Linked DNA regions of Canis lupus familiaris. Each later gene encodes a partner of the first gene's protein in a complex. Links are inferred from orthologs where the notes say so. Each region holds a gene or a part of one and is shown in the gene's direction. Other genes may lie near its edges. The genes, in order: PLXNB1, ARHGEF12 and SEMA4D.

The links.
Region 2: the proteins of PLXNB1 (region 1) and ARHGEF12 are in contact, whole or in part, in an NMR structure (PDB 2OS6), measured with the Homo sapiens proteins. The link is inferred for Canis lupus familiaris from reciprocal best matches to the Homo sapiens genes PLXNB1 and ARHGEF12. Residues at the interface, in NP_001123554.1 of Homo sapiens: Glu2129, Lys2131, Val2132, Thr2133, Asp2134, Leu2135; in NP_056128.1 of Homo sapiens: Phe82, Gly83, Leu84, Thr85, Val86, Ser87, Gly88, Asp89, His127, Val131, Lys135.
Region 3: the proteins of PLXNB1 (region 1) and SEMA4D are in contact, whole or in part, in a crystal structure (PDB 3OL2), measured with the Homo sapiens proteins. The link is inferred for Canis lupus familiaris from reciprocal best matches to the Homo sapiens genes PLXNB1 and SEMA4D. Residues at the interface, in NP_001123554.1 of Homo sapiens: Leu80, Pro81, Pro82, Glu87, Arg136, Pro137, Gly138, Asp139, Thr140, Tyr142, Gly178, Glu202, Lys205, Ala207, Gly209, Arg210, Ser212, Glu213, Arg235, Arg242, Asp359, Val360, Asn361, Ser362, Leu367, Pro368, Thr371, Tyr375, Ser379, Asp380; in NP_001358123.1 of Homo sapiens: Glu99, Lys100, Gly101, Phe158, Tyr179, Phe181, Leu182, Gly183, Ser184, Arg198, Tyr201, Ile203, Glu208, Val240, Leu264, Arg265, Thr266, Leu267, Gln268, Lys270, Thr347, Gln350, Ser351, His352, Thr353, Asp388, Gln392, Lys395.

What each region holds. Positions count from the first base shown.
Region 1 is NC_049241.1:41,080,470-41,084,117, forward strand, and holds part of PLXNB1 (plexin-B1), read left to right. Parts: intron 1-205; coding exon 206-311; intron 312-453; coding exon 454-590; intron 591-876; coding exon 877-1,053; intron 1,054-1,234; coding exon 1,235-1,406; intron 1,407-1,590; coding exon 1,591-1,833; intron 1,834-2,570; coding exon 2,571-2,747; intron 2,748-2,824; coding exon 2,825-2,973; intron 2,974-3,462; coding exon 3,463-3,563; intron 3,564-3,648. UniProt on the Homo sapiens protein: Receptor for SEMA4D. Plays a role in GABAergic synapse development. Mediates SEMA4A- and SEMA4D-dependent inhibitory synapse development. Plays a role in RHOA activation and subsequent changes of the actin cytoskeleton.
Region 2 is NC_049226.1:13,554,679-13,558,326, reverse strand, and holds part of ARHGEF12 (rho guanine nucleotide exchange factor 12), read left to right. Parts: intron 1-1,044; coding exon 1,045-1,120; intron 1,121-1,648; coding exon 1,649-1,816; intron 1,817-2,659; coding exon 2,660-2,747; intron 2,748-3,248; coding exon 3,249-3,335; intron 3,336-3,469; coding exon 3,470-3,549; intron 3,550-3,648. UniProt on the Homo sapiens protein: May play a role in the regulation of RhoA GTPase by guanine nucleotide-binding alpha-12 (GNA12) and alpha-13 (GNA13). Acts as guanine nucleotide exchange factor (GEF) for RhoA GTPase and may act as GTPase-activating protein (GAP) for GNA12 and GNA13.
Region 3 is NC_049222.1:97,582,695-97,585,393, forward strand, and holds part of SEMA4D (semaphorin-4D), read left to right. Parts: intron 1-1,465; coding exon 1,466-1,638; intron 1,639-1,717; coding exon 1,718-1,761; intron 1,762-2,526; coding exon 2,527-2,699. UniProt on the Homo sapiens protein: Cell surface receptor for PLXNB1 and PLXNB2 that plays an important role in cell-cell signaling. Regulates GABAergic synapse development. Promotes the development of inhibitory synapses in a PLXNB1-dependent manner.

The sequences.
Region 1 (3,648 bases):
CTTGGATGGTTGAAACTATGAATGTTAATTCTTAGATGCCAAAGCCCTCTGGTGTGCCATAAAGAATTTCCTCCAACGCAAGAAGGTCTCTGTCAACCTTGGGAGTGGGAAGAACACGTGATTTAGTAGGGCAGGGAGGGAGCAGCCGGTCAGTTGGAGGGGCCCTTGGTGCAGCCTGGCACCCCAGCCTGCCCTGTGCCCACAGCTTCGTGTGTATCACTGAGGCCAGTGATGGGGAGGTGGCTGGGGCAGTGACGGTGGAGGTGCCAGGAAGAGGACGCGGTGTCTCAGAGCACGATTTTGCCTACCAGGTGAAGTAGCTTTCCTCAGTGCATCTAGTTTTGCCTTCCTGGGCTTTCCTACTCTAAGGCCTTCTTGTCTGCCCCAGGCTACTCCTGCCTCTCTGTTGGTGGCTTCATGTTTGGCTGTCTCTCCCTGTTCCACTTCCCACAGGACCCAAAGGTGCATTCCATCTTCCCGACCCGGGGCCCCAGAGCCGGGGGCACCCACCTTACCCTGCACGGCTCCAAGCTCCTGACTGGGCGGCTGGAGGACATCAGAGTAGTCATTGGAGATCAGCCTTGTCACCTGTGAGGGCTGCTTCCTCATTCTGCCAAAATCCATGTGCTCTAGGAAGAAGACAGAGGGGTGGGATGCTGGGGAGAACAGAGAGGGGAGAGGGCCAGGTCTACTCTGTCGGAAAGAGGCCAGACCCTTTCTAAGCTGGGGCTGTCATGGGAATGTGGCCTCCAAGCTCACCTATGGAGCTTTCAGTCAGCTGAGGGAAGTAAGCTGAGGTCTGAGTGGGTCCTGTGGCCCAGAATCTTCTGTTTCCCCTTCCTGGCCCTGCCTTCCATTCGTCCCTCCCTGCCCTAGGCTCCTGGAGCAGCAGGCTGAGCAGCTGCGGTGTGAGACCAGCCCATACCCTGTACCTGCCACACTCCCTGTGGCCGTGTGGTTTGGGGCCACTGAGCGGAGGCTTCTGTATAGCCAATTCGAGTACACGTCAAACCCCAATGTCACCTCTGCTGGCCCTGCCAAGAGCTTCCTCAGGTGCTGGGCCAAGGGCATGGCTGCATGACATGTACTGGGGCTGCAGCTCTAGGATGTGGGGAGGTTGCGGAGCTTTCTATGGAGGCTTGACTCCTATGGTACTGGGAGTGGGGGGCATGTGGCTTGGGGCTGGGCTAGCCTGGTTCTCCTAGCCACCCATGGGTCATGGTCTGTGTTGCAGTGGAGGACGTAAGGTATGGGTCCATGGCCAGAATTTGGATGCGGTCCAGACACCAAGAATCCGAGTGACTGTGGCCCCAAGAACCCTGCAGCCTTACCAGGGGCTTGGGCGGAGGCGCCGTGTGATCCCGGAAACCGCATGCTCCCCCGGTGGTTCCTGTGGCGGTCATCATGTAGGATATCCGTGGGCATCCCCCATGTGCACTGGGCTGGCCATCACCCACATCACCCCACATGCCACCCTGTGCACAGCCATGGTTGGCGGGTACCAAAGAGGCTATCCTTCAGTCTTTGCGTGACCTCCTTCCTACATGGCTCTCAACTGATCCTCCCCCGTTTTTCCTCCCTCTGCCCCAGTTTGAGGAGCCGTGCCATGTGAATTCCTCTCAGCTCATCATGTGCCACACGCCTGCCCTCCCAGGCCTGCCTGAGGACCCCTGGGTCCAGGTGGAATTTATCCTTGATAATCTGGTCTTTGACTTCGCAATGCTGAACCCCACACCCTTCTCCTATGAGGCCGACCCCACTCTGCAGCCCCTCAACCCCGAGGATCCCACCATGCCGTTCCGGCACAAGCCCGGGAGTGTGCTGTCTGTGGAGGTACTGTTCCTGCTCACACGTGGTGGGGCCACATGACCCTTCACTTTGCTGGGCACTACTGCTGTGTGTAGGGGCATGACAGCAGAGCAAGGACCTGTGCATGGACCTGGCTCCTTACCCTTAATGTGGTGAGGGCTAAGGGACCAGTGGTGGGCTGCCCAGCCTGACACATCTGCCCGGGGCTTGGGTCCTGTAGCCTGGGTCCCAGCACACTCTGTGGCAGGAGTCTGAATGGCTGCATGTAGATGGTTTGGCACACGTAGTAGCTGGGTGGCACGGTACACAGTAGGCGCCTGGGCTAATGCCCATTTGGCAGCTTGACTCAATGTGGACAAACAGTTGGCATGGATTCTGACACATATAGTAGGTGGGCATTCTGAAACCCATCATCATGCACCGGGTGGGCCAGCAGACACAGCAGGGGATCTGGCTTTGTGAGGTAACTGGGCGGGATTCGGGGGCAACTATAACTGTCTGGATTTTTAGCTCTGGAGAAGTAAAAGTGTGAGGCAGGAGGATGGGAAGGGCAGAGGAGGGTCAGGGGACAGCTTGGAAGATACCCATGGACTGTCACCTCTCATGCAGGGGAAGAGGTGCTGAGGCACCATCAGCCCTGCCCCTAGGGATGGGTGTCAGGACCATCCTTCCCACATTTAGGGGGAAAGGATCTGAGTGACCACCAGCAACTCCCCTTAGGGAAGAGTTCTGAGTGATCCATCAGTGACCTCGTGTTCCAGGGGGAGAATCTGGACCTTGCAATGTCTAAGGAGGAGGTGGTGGCCATGATAGGGGATGGCCTCTGCGTGGTGAAGACGCTGACCCGTCACCACCTATACTGTGAGCCCCCCATGGAGCAGCCCCTGCCCCAGCACCATGCCCTTCGAGAGGCACCGGACGCCTTGCCTGAGTTCACGGTCAGTAGGTGGGCTGTGGGCTGGGCCAGGCACTGGGCACGTGCTGAAACCTTACTCACAGGTGCCTTCCTGTGTAGGTGCAGATGGGAAACCTGCGCTTTTCCCTGGGCCATGTGCAGTATGATGGCGAGAGCCCTGTGGCTTTTCCCATGGCAGCCCAGGTGGGCTTGGGGGTGGGCACCTCTCTTCTGGCTCTGGGTGTCATCATCATTGTCCTCATATACAGGTGGGTGCAGCTGGATGTGGCTGGGCTGAGGCTGGATGGGAAGGGGAGACTAGGCCAGGGGTCAATAAACACATTGCCTGTAAAGTCCCAGAGGGTACCAATTTTAGGCTTTGTGGGCTGAGTGGCCTCAGTGGCTCAGCTCTGCTGTTAAGCATGCAGAAGCAGCTATAGACGATATGTAAACACACGAATGTGGCCGTGTGCCAACAAATCTTTGCAGAAACAGGCCGTGGGCCGGATTTGGCCTGGTTGTAGTTCCTTGATTTCTAGGCTAACCCCGGGGCTAGCCTGCGGAGAGGGTGTGACTTGCCCAGGACAGGACAGTCTAAATTATTTTTGGGCTAAGTCTTGGCTTGGCTGGGCATGGCCATGTTGGACGGTATCAGCCTGGTCCAGGGTGAGGCTGGGGTAGATAGGCCTGGGCCAGGGGCACCAGAAAGGGCTCTGGCCTTGTCTGGCCTCCCCCTTCCTAACCTTGGTGCTGAGCAGGAGGAAGAGCAAGCAGGCCCTGAGGGACTATAAGAAGGTCCAGATCCAGCTGGAGAATCTGGAGAGCAGTGTGCGGGACCGCTGCAAGAAGGAGTTCACAGGTGAGGCCGCCGGCAATGGGCCTGAGCACCCTCCGGGGCTCTGCCTAAGGCTGTTCCCACAGTGTGGGATCCACACCCAAACCTG
Region 2 (3,648 bases), on another chromosome or scaffold:
GAATGAGAGTAGGGGTGTTCACTCTGGGAACTTAACAGATTATTGAGTAAAACAAGATAATTTTTTCATGAAACTCTTCAAAAGCATGAGTGTTGAAATCATTATGGGAATGATAGTAAAAAATTTTGTAATTGCCATTTCTATTACATGAGGCTTTTGTATTAAGGAACTGCTTAGGATTTTCTTTCTTGTGCTCTTTCAGTAGGGGGTTGCTTTTGCAAATTGTATTTGGTGGCTGGTAGACTAGACTTGTATCACAGAGAGCAGCTTATCAAAAAGCACGCTTAATACGCTTAGCCTTCACTTCCAGAGGATGAGATTTTTCTAGAGCTACCTATACTAAGGGCTGATTTTCTTACTAAATTATTAATATTTAGTAGGAGTGCCTGGGTGGCTCAGTTGGTTAAGTGTCCGACTCTCGATTTTCAGCTCAGGCCATGATCTCAGGGTCCCACATTGGGCTCCATGCTCAGCAGGGAGTATGCTTGGAATTCTCTCTCTCCCTCTACCCTTCCCTCCCTTAAATGAATGAATGAATGAATGAATGAATGAACGAACGAATGAATCTTTTGATAAAATAAATTATTAATATTTAGAGCAAGATCAAGTACTACTTGGACTTTTTCATGAGTACTGTTCCTTAGAACTTTGTTTGGAACTAGAGCCTGGCACTCACAGGCCTCTTACAGATAGATAAACTATGCATCATCCTCATCTAGCTATTCATAGAATAATTAGATGGGCTGCAAATCCAGTGGCTGAATGCTTGCAACTTCATTTTCATAAGCAATTATCATATATTTATTGTGAGACTTGGAAGGCAGTCCTCTGAATGTTTTTCAAGATACCTCTAATTTTTTAGGAAATTGTATGCAGCTTACTGTAACTTGATCTTTATTCCATGTTCAGCAGTTCGCAAATACCAATAATGATAGTGAAGGTAAATGGTATCTTTTATATAAAGAATTTATTGAAAAGAGACTCTATGGCATATCGTCTCAGAGCTTGGAAATAATTTGTGTGTAATTCTCTTTATTTTGGCAGAATTTGGATTTAACGAAAAGGAAGATGATTCATGAAGGGCCATTGGTCTGGAAGGTGAATCGAGATAAAACTATTGGTAGGTATCGTGTCTGTCAGTTTTACGGAGAGTGGAGAAATTAAAGTTCCTTTGGGCCAAAGAGAAGAAACAACCGTTCACAGATTTTGGCAACAGCAGTGAGCAGTGCTGCCCTGTGTTATATTTGCAGATCTGCTTATGGTATTTCTTTATAGGTGAAGTACATTAAATGTTCACTGAGGGGGAAAAGCAGAAAAATTTGTCATGATTCAGTCATGTCTCCATCATTCTTGTATTCTAATGAGCTCTCTAATAAGCTTTCTTTAAACCACTCCATTTCAAACTATCTATGCTGAGGAATCATGGTGGCTTTTTTTTAATTTCTTGTCAGTCACCGACTGACGCTTTGGTGCGATACAATATAAAAATGAATTATTAAAAAATGGAACTAAAAAAGACAATAGCAAGTCAATTTTTTAAATGTATTAGCTTTAACAGAAATAAATTTTCTCTGTCAAATTGTTACAAAGTTTATAAAACACATCTCAGTTTCTACACTAATCACCTTCTCTACATTTTGGTTTCCAGATCTATACACATTGCTGCTGGAAGACATTCTTGTATTGTTACAAAAGCAGGATGATAGACTGGTGTTAAGATGTCATAGTAAGATTCTGGCATCCACGGCTGACAGCAAACACACATTTAGCCCTGTCATTAAGTTGAATACAGTGTTGGTTCGACAAGTGGCAACAGGCAAGTATGTCCACAGAGTGACAGTAGCTTTCAGGTTCATCATAAAGTTGCATGAGATCCTTGGTATTGTTTAAACAGCCCAGCTGGTAGAGAGTTTCTGTTTCATTCTTAAACAAATGAAATGAAATTTGGTTACTACTTAAAGAGTTTCTACCCCCAAATTCTTTGGGGTGCCTAGATTCTCTGAGCAATTTTCTGCTCTTGAAAATTTCCTGCATACCGCTTTAATCTTTAGTCCATGTTCACATCATTGACAGACTACCACGGAAGATGGTGAATTGAGGGATAATCCCAATGAAAAGAGTTACATGAGAGTGGTATGCTTTTTGATTTGTGGTAAAAGAGCAAACAAAAACAGAGAGGTGGGTGTAGTTTGGGTTTTTTGAAATCAGTTTAAGTTAGCAAATTATACATTAACCGTAGTAACAGTGGGATCCCTTTTCAAACTTGTCAGTTCCATAGTGGCAAGATAAGCTGACGACCTCTTTTCTTCATCATTTACTAAATTTCATTAATTAACAATTTAGCAACAGGGCAATTCAAAATAAATGCAAAAATGTCATCGTGTTGAGTAATTCAGATGTATGTACACCTCCTTGTTTCTATGTGGAACCCGGGCTAGTTTTTAGGATCTTTGTTTTATTGGAGTATAACATAGACAATGTAACATATGATAAGTTACACAAATTTTAACTTTATAGCTTGATGAATTTTTACAAAGTGAGCACATTAACCTTTACCCAGATTAAGATGCAGAATAAACCAGGACCCGAGAAGTATCCTTCACGGCTTCTGTAGGTCATATCCATGTTGTGAGAGTAATTTTTGTCTTGTTTCTTCCAGATAACAAAGCTTTATTTGTCATCTCCATGTCAGACAATGGAGCCCAGATTTATGAACTGGTGGCACAGACTGTTTCTGAAAAGACTGTGTATGTATTAGATACAGCTACCTTGCTCTAATAGTTTTTGTTATAGATATATAGAATATAACATTCTATAAACTTGGTTTTTGTAATACTTCGGGAACCAAAAACTATATTGAAAAAACCACTTCCTCTATATTTTTTAAGAGATACTGTCTAAGAACGTGGTCCTCTCAAGATTGATGTCCCTTGTTTTAGCGCTATGCTATTGAAAGTATCTTTTCTAAAGAACAATTCTCAGAAGCATCAAGCAAAGGTTTTTAATGCGTGCTGTATCCATAACATTGTTTGCTTAGGTTTTTCTTGAAGGTCCAGTGTTTTTTATCATCTCTACCTAATGTTGCCAAAATAAAGACACTCTCTGGTGGAAATAGAGTTTTTTTGTTGGATTGGCTTGGTTTGGTTTCTGGTTTGTTTTTGTTATTATTTCTTTCTGAGTGTATATTTAAAGGGCATTTTTTTTTCCTTTCCCTTTTGGATTTTGGATCCTTTTCACACTTCCTGCAGCTGGCAAGACCTAATCTGTCGGATGGCTGCATCAGTGAAGGAACAGTCCGCAAAGCCAATCCCATTGCCACAGTCACCACCTTGCGAGTGAGTGTGCATTTGCGTTGTAGTAGGACTGACTCTGTGTTTTGATCAGGAAAGGAACGGATGATCCTTACCTTTCACTGCAGTGATGTTTGGGCATCTCTTGAAGCTGAAAGATTGTTTTCTTTCTTGTACAGAGGAGACAACGATGAAGAAGCAGCTCCAAAGTTAAAAGTGGAACATCATAGCATTTCAGTCCCTGGTTTGCAGAGTCCAGGTAAACTGATCCATTAGGTTTACCTGGAAGAATGTAGTCTATACATTACTTATTAAAATGCAAAGAAACTTTAAGTCTTTTGGTTTATGCAGTTCTCAC
Region 3 (2,699 bases), on another chromosome or scaffold:
AGCGAGGCCGGGCAGGGGTGAGGCCCCAGTGCCCATGGGCAGACATACTGTGAAGCCGTGGACCTGCACTCCACCCTATGGTGACGGATGCTTGCTCGTGGGGGAGACCTCAAGGCTGCTGGGTGTCAGTCCCTCCTGCCCACGGGCTTCTGCACCTGCCAATGGTCTCAGCCACCCCCCGCCACTGTTTGCCTGTTTCCTTCTCTCAGAATCTGTTACTCCGTGGCTCTGGGTCACGGAAGCCCAGCCCTGGGGACGGGGGTGCAGGGACATGAGCGCCCCATCCCCCCATGCCCACAGCCACACACTCAGGTCTGGTGTCAGCTGGGGCTTCCGGGCAGTCTGTGCCCTCCAGGGTCCCTCAAGGTTGCCTGCTTGGCCTTCCCAGGAACCCTCTCCTCTGCAAGCCACGTGACCCCGAGAGGGGTCTGGGGTGGCATCCTCAGTCCTTTCAGCAACCATGTGGCCTCCTCTGCCTGGGCCCCACCAACAGGGATGGGCTAGCCCCCAGGCCTGGCTCTCTCTGCCCCTTCTGACCAGAGGACAGTCTGCTGTGGAGGGGACTTCTTGGCTATACTCACACAGGGTGCGTCACAGGCCAGGAGCGCCAGCTGGACGCTGCTGTTAATTCCCTGTCTCCCCCCGGGGAAGGCTGCAACTCGTTTGGGTCTGAAACACTGACTTCTGCTGGGTTCTGTTAACCCTGAGGTTAACCAGAAGATCTGTGTGGGGTCGGGGGAGACGGGCTCACCGGCGGAGGAGACCGTGGACACACATGCAGAATTGCAGCCCTGCAGCATGGCTGTGCCAGGAGGGGTCCCCGCTGTGTCCAGGGGAGCAATTAGCCACCTGGGGGGCCTGGCTCTCTGAGGGGCCAGCCGTCAGCCTCCCTGTCTGCGTGCTCCTCCCTCGCAAACCTGGCTGGTCCCTTAATCCTCGTGCTGGAGTTCTGCATGTCCCCCACCACTCTCTGGCGCCTCCTTTCCTGGCCCCGCTGGATTCGGACACTACTGGGCTGTCCGTGCACAGCTGCTCAAGCCAGGCAGGCCTGGGATTGGGCTCCGAGTTGTACCCTTTGGCCTCTGTCCTGTCGCGGGGCCAGGAGTGTCCCACTGGAGGAGCCCCATCCACACAGAGGAGCTGACCCCCAGCCCTAGTGGGGCAGAGACACGTCCACACTGGCACCCAGACGGGAGGGCTGGGGGGTTCTGGGGGGGCCTGTGACCAAGGCCCCGAGTGCCGAGTTAGCGAGGACTCTGCTGAAGAGCACGCGGCCTCTGCGGGCTTGAGGTGCTGCTGTTGGGATTGGCCTTGGAGTAGCCCGGCTGAGCTCCGGTTCTGGAAGCTCCTGGATGAGGGATCGCGGGAACGTGCTTGCCACAGCCGGCGAGGTGGAGAAGCACCTGCCACCAAGCGCATGAATGCCACCCCTCATGCGCCTGTCCCCTCTGTCTCCCCCGTGCAGGGCAAGAGATTTGTGTACGCGGGTTCCAGCTCGGGTGTGGTGCAGGCCCCCGTGGCCTTCTGCGGGAAGCACGGGAGCTGCGAGGACTGCGTGCTGGCCCGCGACCCCTACTGCGCCTGGAGCCGTGCCGCCGAGGCCTGCGTGGACCTGCACCGGACAGACAGCCCCAGCAGGTACCGGGGGCGCGCGTGCCGGCCACCCGCCCTGCCCGCGGGGAAGGCGCGTGAGTGACCGTGCCCGCTTGCCTTGCAGGACTTTGGTTCAGCAGATGAGCGGTGACACGTCCGTCTGCCCCAGTAAGTGGCCCCTCCTCGCTGTGCTGCTCGGGGGCGGCCGGGTCTCGTGATCGTGTCGTGGTGCTGTGCTGTTGTGGCATCTCGTACATTCTTTTTTCCTTTCTCTACTTGGAACAGAGGGCACGTATCCATGAGGATACAGAGGCCGACCCCGCCAGCCCCTCTGGTTGCAGCCACGTAGTGCGTTCACTGGAAGGTGCTCGGCGTCCAACCTGTGACATCCAGTCTTGAGACGCTCCTCTCTCCCGCTTAGCTTGGGGCTGCTGACACAACCCTGAGGGTCCCGGGAGGGGCAGCGGGAGGCGTCCTCGTCCCCTCGGCGATGCCCCTGCCGGCCGGGGGGTCAGGCACATCCCTTGGTCTCCTGGAAGGCAGCCGTGCCCTGGGCTGTCACGCTCCTGATGTGGACTCGACAGCGGGGCAGCCTCAGGAGGATGCTGGGCCACTGAGAGTCCACGGGCCCCGGAGCCGTTGGCAGGAGCGCGGCGTGTGACTCCGCGTGTCGCCGCACGGCCTCGCAGGGCACCAGATGGGATCTCTGTACCCGGTTGCTCCCGAGTTCCTCATCCCCTGGGGCTGCCATCTGGGGCTCATCTCTGCTCTTCTGTCACGCATGTCTTTATCTCCTTAGTTGTTCTGGAAGATTCTGTGTTGCTCTAGTGGGTGAAACTCTTGTGTTCTCTTGTGCGTGTTGACCTATCTTTGAAAGAAGGGAAGTAGCGGGCCGGGTTGTTGACACTGTGCACGTTTATTTTGGTGTTCCAGATGAAACTAAAAGTTTCCGGGAGCATTTTTTCAAGCACGGCGGCACAGCAGAACTGAAATGCTCCCAAAAGTCGAACCTGGCCCGGGTGGTGTGGACGTTCCGGGACCGCGTACTCAAGGCCCAGACCCCCAAGTATGGCCTGGTGGGCAGGAGAGACTTGCTCATCTTCGAC